Xenopus tropicalis: one gene and its partner. The protein of the gene in region 1 purifies or fractionates together with the protein of each later gene. This does not show direct contact. Links are inferred from orthologs where the notes say so. Each region holds a gene or a part of one and is shown on either strand. Other genes may lie near its edges.

Region 1 (3,967 bases):
CCAGAGCGCTGTAAAAGACTCGTTGCAAGTTATCGCAAACGCTTGATTGCAGTTATTGCTGCTAAGGGTGGCCCAACCAGTTATTAGGTTCAGGGGGCAATTACTTTTTCACACAGGGCCATGTAGGTTTGGATTTTTTTTCTCCCTAAATAATAAAAACCCTCATTTAAAAACTGCATTTTGTGTTCACTTGTGTTATCTTTGACTAATAGTTAAATGTGTTTGATGATCAGAAACATTTTGTGTGACAAACCTGCAAAAGAATAAGAAATCAGGAAGGGGGCAAATAGTTTTTCACACCACTGTATATATATATATATATATATATATATATTTATTACACACACACACAAACTATTTAAGGGGGTACTATCACTATAAAAGCTGGAAAGCTGCAGAAGATGAAGGCAAATTATTAAAAAAAACAAAAAACTAACAAATAATTTAGATCAATTGCAAAGTTGCAAGGAATAGGGCATTCTATACCATATTAAAAGCTAACTTAAAGGTGAACGACCCCTTTAAAATATTCCCCTTACCATCACAGCCACCTAGTTAAAGCTTCTGCACCATACACTTGTATATTACTTTGTAAGAGATACACTCAAAACACACAAACTGCTGTGTACAGTGAAGTCTGTATGTTATATGCTACACCCACACAGCTAACAGTTTGGCCAATCAATCACTGACTGCACTAAAAATTAAAGAAGGAAAGGTAAAAACTAAGTAAGCATTATCATAAAGGTCTATGTAAATACAGCCATAAGCACTTACAGAAACGCTACACTGAGTTCTCTTTCAAAAGAAACACAGGATTTCTAGTCTTTGTTTTCCTGTGCCAGAGACACGCAGCTCTCTCCTCTCTCCTGCTCCCGCCTCCCTCAAGAATGCTAAGAACTCCCTCCCCCCCATAGGAATGTGGATCTGAGCCAATCAGCAGGAAGCTTCCTCATAGGTCTTACACACTAAGCATGTACACCAATCTTGGTGCAGGAGCAAGGCATTATGGGAAGTTAGCAAGCGCACAAAGACTGAAGAGGAGACACTCGCTCGCAGCTACCCCGGGCTGGTGCACTTTTCTTCTCACAGGAGCACCAGCCTGGGGTAAAAGGTAAGCGATTAAAGTCACTGGGGGTGCCTAACATTTTGGCACCCCCCAGTGAGTTAGCCTTTCCTTCTCCTTTAAATTAAGACATCTATACCTGTCATGAACTAAGTCCAAAATCTCAGCTGTCAATTATATTTGCCTCAGGCATACAGGTGGGACAGGCAGTCACTTTATATTCTGCATTTCCTAGATGTCACTGCACTCCTCTCATTCCCCCTACCTCCCCCATGGTCCATAACTGTATGCTGTGCATATGCAGGGCCCTCCCCCCTAGAACATTGGTAGTGAGGGGTTACGTTTTGCATTGGTAGCCAGGGGTTACGTTTTGCATTGGTAGCCAGGGCAGGGACCCCCTAAAACATTGCTGGTCCTCCCCCAGCGTCCCCATACTATGGGCCACTGCCCACTGCAGCATCCTCCCCAACATCATCCTTCAGCTCCCCCCAGCGTCCTCCCCAACATCCTTCAGCTCCCCCCAGCGTCCTCCCCAACATCCTCCAGCTCCTCTCAGCATCCTCCCCAACATCTTCCAGCTCACCCCAGCGTACTCCCCAACATCAATCAACTCCTCCCAGCATACTCCCCAACATCAATCAACTCCTCCCAGCATACTCCCCAACATCAATCAGCTCCCCCCAGCATACTCCCCAACATCAATCAGCTCCCCCCAGCATACTCCCCAACATCAATCAGCTCCCCCCAGCATACTCCCCAACATCAATCAGCTCCCCCCAGCATACTCCCCAACATCAATCAGCTCCCCCCAGCATACTCCCCAACATCAATCAGCTCCCCCCAGCATACTCCCCAACATCAATCAGCTCCCCCCAGCATACTCCCCAACATCAATCAGCTCCCCCCAGCATACTCCCCAACATCTTCCAGCTCACCCCAGCGTACTCCCCAACATCAATCAACTCCTCCCAGCATACTCCCCAACATCAATCAGCTCCCCCAGCATACTCCCCAACATCAATCAGCTCCCCCCAGCATACTCCCCAACATCAATCAGCTCCCCCCAGCATACTCCCCAACATCAATCAGCTCCCCCCAGCATACTCCCCAACATCAATCAGCTCCCCCCAGCATACTCCCCAACATCAATCAGCTCCCCCAGCGTACTCCCCAACATCAATCAGCTCCCCCCAGCGTACTCCCCAACATCTTCCAGCTCCCCCCAGCATACTCCCCAACATCAATCAGCTCCCCCCAGCATACTCCCCAACATCAATCAGCTCCCCCCAGCATACTCCCCAACATCAATCAGCTCCCCCCAGCATACTCCCCAACATCAATCAGCTCCTCCCAGCGTACTCCCCAACATCTTCCAGCTCACCCCAGCATACTCCCCAACATCTTCCAGCTCCCCCCAGCATACTCCCCAACATCAATCAGCTCCCCCCAGCATACTCCCCAACATCAATCAGCTCCCCCAGCATACTCCCCAACATCAATCAGCTCCCCCCAGCATACTCCCCAACAACTTCCAGCTCACCCCTGCGTACTCCCCAACATCCTTCAGCTCCCCCCAGCGTCCTCCCCAACATACTCCAACTCCCCCGCAATGTTCTCCCCCACCGCTCGCCTACTTCTTCCGGCTGCGTCCGCCTGTTTTCCCCCGGCTGCCTCCCCCGTCTCTTCTTACGTTCCCCGGCTCGCCGCTGCAGCTACTCTATGATAAGGTTGCGCCCCGTGCGTGCTGACGTCACGCGTACGCACGGGGCGCAACCAATCAAATTACCCGCTGACCACCAATGCACTAAGGCCTGGAACTCTTTAAAGGGGGCCCGTGCTTATAACTGTATCGCGGCCGGGCCCGGGACAACTGTGCCCCCCTGATGGCGGCCCTGCATACAACTTTTACATTGTTACTGTGTACTCAGCTGTAGCCCCTAATTCCTATGGTTTATGGATCACACAAATTTTTTTTTGTATGTGACATTAAAAATAACTCACACTGCCACGTCTGACAGAGTCTATGCAATGATTAGTGAGTTTTTTTTTTATATATAAGATCCTCCATTCAGAACCCGCTTGAACTAGCCAAGTGAAGCACAGGAGTGAAGGTGGGACAATTGTAAAGCACTCTTTTAACCTCAGAGGAGAAAATGAATGGCATGTCAGCTGAAGTGCATCAATCTTTTTATTGCATGGAATGGGCCTCTGTAAATATGGGGCCCACAAGAGGGGTCATTTAAGTCTTTTACCACCTGCCAGCTGCTGCCTTGGTCCCGACACTTGCTGCTGATGCCTACATCATACTATCACAGCCTGCCCTAAAAGTGATGAGCCTAACTGTGGGGGGAATGATTTTTAACGCCGTGTCAGTCCCTGCTGGTGGTTAATATTAGGGTTGTCTGTAGCAATTTTGTGATGGGGTGAATTTCAGGCTTAATGGGTCACAGTACCAATTTATACTAGGGTATTATTTGTTGCTGAGGCTTATTGTACCATTTTATGTGGGTTTAATGTGCCCTTTAATGAGTGCTGTAAAAGGTTTCCTCGTGTATAAATGTTGAGGATTATTCTGGCCTATATCAATCTATTGTGCTACTAAACCTGTATAAATTTTTTTTGTAGTCTTGTATGTATGTATGTATGTAAAACTTTATTTAGAAAGCGCTACAAGGATACACAGGGCTGTACAATTTTACAACAGAGAAACTTACACACAGGGAGGACAACTATTATAATAAATACAATAAATAAGTGTAAATACGCAGTGCCATGTGGTATCATTTACGGTAGGAAGGAGGTCTCTGTCCCGTAGAGCTTACACTCTATGGGGCTGATTTACTAACCCACGAATCCGACCCGAATTGGAAAAGTTCCGACTTGAAAACGAACATTTTGCGA
Region 2 (3,519 bases), on another chromosome or scaffold:
GATAAATAAGATTGGGGGGCAAATCAAGAATGCACGGAGGGAACCAGGATCCAGAAAGACAAGAGGGGAAAGAGTAGATCAGTTTAGTGCAGTATAAAGAGAAGAACAAAGTTAAAGAAAAACATTTCAGTTGAAATATAAAGGTGAGAGGGAGTTACAAGAGCAAGACTTATAAACAGGGAGTGGAGTAAAAGAGAGAGGCAAGGGAAAGCAGAAAGAGTCAGAGCGAGAGAGATAGAGAGGGAAATAAAGCCAGACAAGTGAACCCGGAAAAGGGAAAGCAAGAGCAGAATATATATAAAATGTTGAAGGGAAAGTAGTAGGAACAAGAAAAAGAGGGGAAATGACAACATGCACAAAGTGAGTGGAATCCTCCCCTGGAAGTGAACTGATACCAAACTCTGGGGTTTTCCCTGTTGGGAGCCTTTGGAAATGGATATGGGTGGTTGTAGCAAGCAAGAGACCACAGCACTCAGAGATACCTTGGGAGGCAAGCATGGCTCCTGCTGTCTCCTGAAATTCCAGCAGCTGCTGCAGAAACAGGATGGCCTGTATAGGGAGCAGAGAGATCAGTTTTACTGGGGCAGACGTATCATTAACACAAGATTCTCCCGACAAACCTGCCTATCCCATGAGTCCTTCCCATGGCACACTCACTAACCCACAATGCCATGCACACACTGCTCAGAACACATTATTCACCAACATAATGGCTGTAAAACTCACATTGCTGGTGATCTCATGAACTGTGCCATCCTTTGACACACTGGTCTCCTTTGGTTCATTCTGGATAAGAAGGACACAACTCTATTAGATTGAAACCGACCAGCACCCATGAACAGTTTCACTTCCCAGTAAGTGCCCATTACCTTTATACAGTCTGCAAAATCCTCTAAAGCCTTGGCACCAGTTGCCTCTATAGAGGTGATGAGGTTGGGCAGCTTGTTCTTTGTGCCAGCTGCGGTGCCCTAAATAGATTGGGAGATGGGTCAGAGAGGGTGCATGATGTTTGGGTAATCCCCCACAAGCACCAAGCACTTACCTGGAGAACCTTGTCAAACTCAGGCTTTGTAAGTTTCAGGTGCCTTAGGATGGGGAAGATACTCAGGACAGAGGTGAAATCATGTCTGGCATTGGCTTTCTTAGCAGCGGATACAATATTCTCACCCTCCTGGATAAGGTTGTCCAAGGTCTCCTGAAATAATAAGGGAGCAATAGATAAGCCCTGAGCACATCTCTGAGATACTTAGTGACCCCCAAATTAGGAAGGTGGCAACGGCAGACCTGGATGAGTGAATCGAAAGTCTTCTTCTGGTGGTGCTCCGGTATAATATACGTCAGCAGCTGGTACTCACTCTGGGCTAGCCGGACAAAGGCACTGATGCAGTAGATGTAGGTGTCAGTCTCTAGATCAAGGGCATCCTCCTTCCCTGCAAAGGCAGGCAAGTTACATATAGATCCTCGCTGTCACTTAGTTATTGGTAATGGACCACGGTGCCGGTCTCAGTTCAAATACTGATGGCTACGAGTTTTATAAAGACCTCTGATAACACCTTTTTTAAAGAAGGGACCCTCTATATCCCAAAGGACCCAGTACTCACCAGAGGCCGGGCCGTGTTTCTCTCCCACGGCCTCTCCGTGGTATCGGCCACGTGATTCTTGCTCAAGACCTGCTCAATGTGGAGGCAGGGGACAGGGTTATATGGCACATCTTGTAAACGCCCGGCCCGAGGCAATGGGCTGACCGGTGTCCGGACAAGTGAGGAGGGGATTGTAGGGTAGGTGGGAATGTCAATCAACGACTTTCCCTTTAGATCATATAGCCAGTGTTATCCATAGAGCCCCACAGGCTACATTCTTCTGTAAAATCCTTCCACATTATCTGCCATTGTGCCACCAAGACAGGGCTTATAATTTGACAGGAAGGGTTTTTATTTGCCTTTCCAGTGTAGGCTTACAGAAGGATACGGCCTGTTTTACTCCCTACACCAAGATATACACCAAGATTCAGTTCCTATCTGGGCCTGGTTTTAAATCTCTGAGCAGAAGGTTCAGATTGGAGAAAGAAAGCCGGATCAGTGGAGAAACGTGCAAATTACCTTCAAGGACTCCGAGACTGGACCCTCCCTTTTTCCCATCCAGCCCGTGCTGAGAGTATTGTTTGAGGAGGTTCTGAGCCTTGCGGATAGTGCCTGTCACCAAGAGGAGAGTGGGAAAGAGAAAATAGGGAGGGAGACAAGACCTTGGAAAGTGAGCAGGAAGACCCCACCGAGCACAGAAATGGAAGACACACACCCTTCAATACCGGCATTTCAAGAGATATTCACCCCACGTAGCGCAACCAAGCAGCTAATGATACTGGCTCTGCAGCACCCACCACCTCCATGCTGGGAAAAAACAAAGGAGGCCTCTATGGCACAACATAAGCTAGACTGTAGTACAATTAGGGGGGGGCAAAATGCAATTGAGGCATACATATTTACTATTGAAGACAGTCATATTTTTATAAGATGGATAATCCATGGGCCCATGGCAAAAATTTCACAGTACAAATAATAATTACCAAAACGTTTTATATTGCTCCAAAGCTGGCACTTGTACCAACTAGATGAAGCCCCATAAAAGCTAGGTGGAAGCCTAGAATTTGGGAGGCCTGTAATTCAATTTCCCAGCATGCAATGTGTGAAAGAAAGAGACGAGGGCAAAATTGTGTTAAGTTAAGCCAGCAGTTAATAAAAGGCAGTCTATTCCCACCCACTAGCCTCGGACACTCGGAAAAGCCTGGTATCTGGGGAGGCGGCAGGCTGGCAAAACAAGGGTTAACATGTCATATAAACACTTTTCAAACAATTCAAAAGACAGACAGCAGTAAGATATGTGACAAGGGAGGGAAGTAACAACCCTCAGGTACCAAGCGAGGGCACTTTCTGGAAACAAGCGGCAAACACGGCGGATTATTCAAACAGGAAAGTTTGCTATAGGCTGGGTTTTACACGTGCCTCGTGCACATCACAGAGATGCTGCGTGTTTTGGTTAGTGCTGGCCCTGCACACTGGCAGGAAAGCGTCCGCTTTGTATTACCTGGCACGAAGACTGGAACCGGCACATAACAGGGAGGAAACAGACATCTATCAATACCTCTGGACTTGATAAGGAAAGTCTGCATTAAAGGGAAACATTTCCTTGCCCGAATACGTATAGTTATTAATATCAGCACGAGCTGCTATGTTGTATGAGGGTATATATACACTTCCCTTCTCTGTGTATATGTGTTTATACATAAAGGAGGGAGCAGACACATCTTATTAACAGTATAAGGAAATGGCTTGTGTCATAGAATAGTGGCGTACTGCTTAGCCTTGCTCCAAACCAGAAACTGTGGTACTACCATTTTGTATTTAGTGCCCTCACTACACTGGCTGATAGGGAAATCCATTAACCCCCAACCCAACTAGATGATGTTGATATAGTAGCCATGCCCTCTGCGCTCTCAGACCCCACATCTGACCTGGCCTTTTG

The links. The genes of interacting proteins can lie anywhere in the genome.
Region 2: the proteins of exoc2 (region 1) and exoc7 fractionate together in Homo sapiens (co-fractionation; 4 studies listed by BioGRID, with this or other methods). This does not show direct contact. The link is inferred for Xenopus tropicalis from reciprocal best matches to the Homo sapiens genes EXOC2 and EXOC7.

The regions. Positions count from the first base shown.
Region 1 is NC_030682.2:87,070,888-87,074,854, reverse strand, and holds the start of exoc2 (exocyst complex component 2), read right to left. Parts: upstream 2,810-3,967; 5' UTR 2,701-2,809; exon of another isoform or gene 2,661-2,700; intron 1-2,660. UniProt on the Homo sapiens protein: Component of the exocyst complex involved in the docking of exocytic vesicles with fusion sites on the plasma membrane.
Region 2 is NC_030686.2:45,038,646-45,042,164, forward strand, and holds part of exoc7 (exocyst complex component 7), read right to left. Parts: coding exon 3,509-3,519; intron 3,094-3,508; coding exon of another isoform or gene 3,082-3,093; intron 2,193-3,081; coding exon of another isoform or gene 2,025-2,192; intron 1,671-2,024; coding exon 1,602-1,670; intron 1,431-1,601; coding exon 1,285-1,430; intron 1,196-1,284; coding exon 1,043-1,195; intron 969-1,042; coding exon 870-968; intron 787-869; coding exon 727-786; intron 550-726; coding exon 483-549; intron 1-482. UniProt on the Homo sapiens protein: Component of the exocyst complex involved in the docking of exocytic vesicles with fusion sites on the plasma membrane.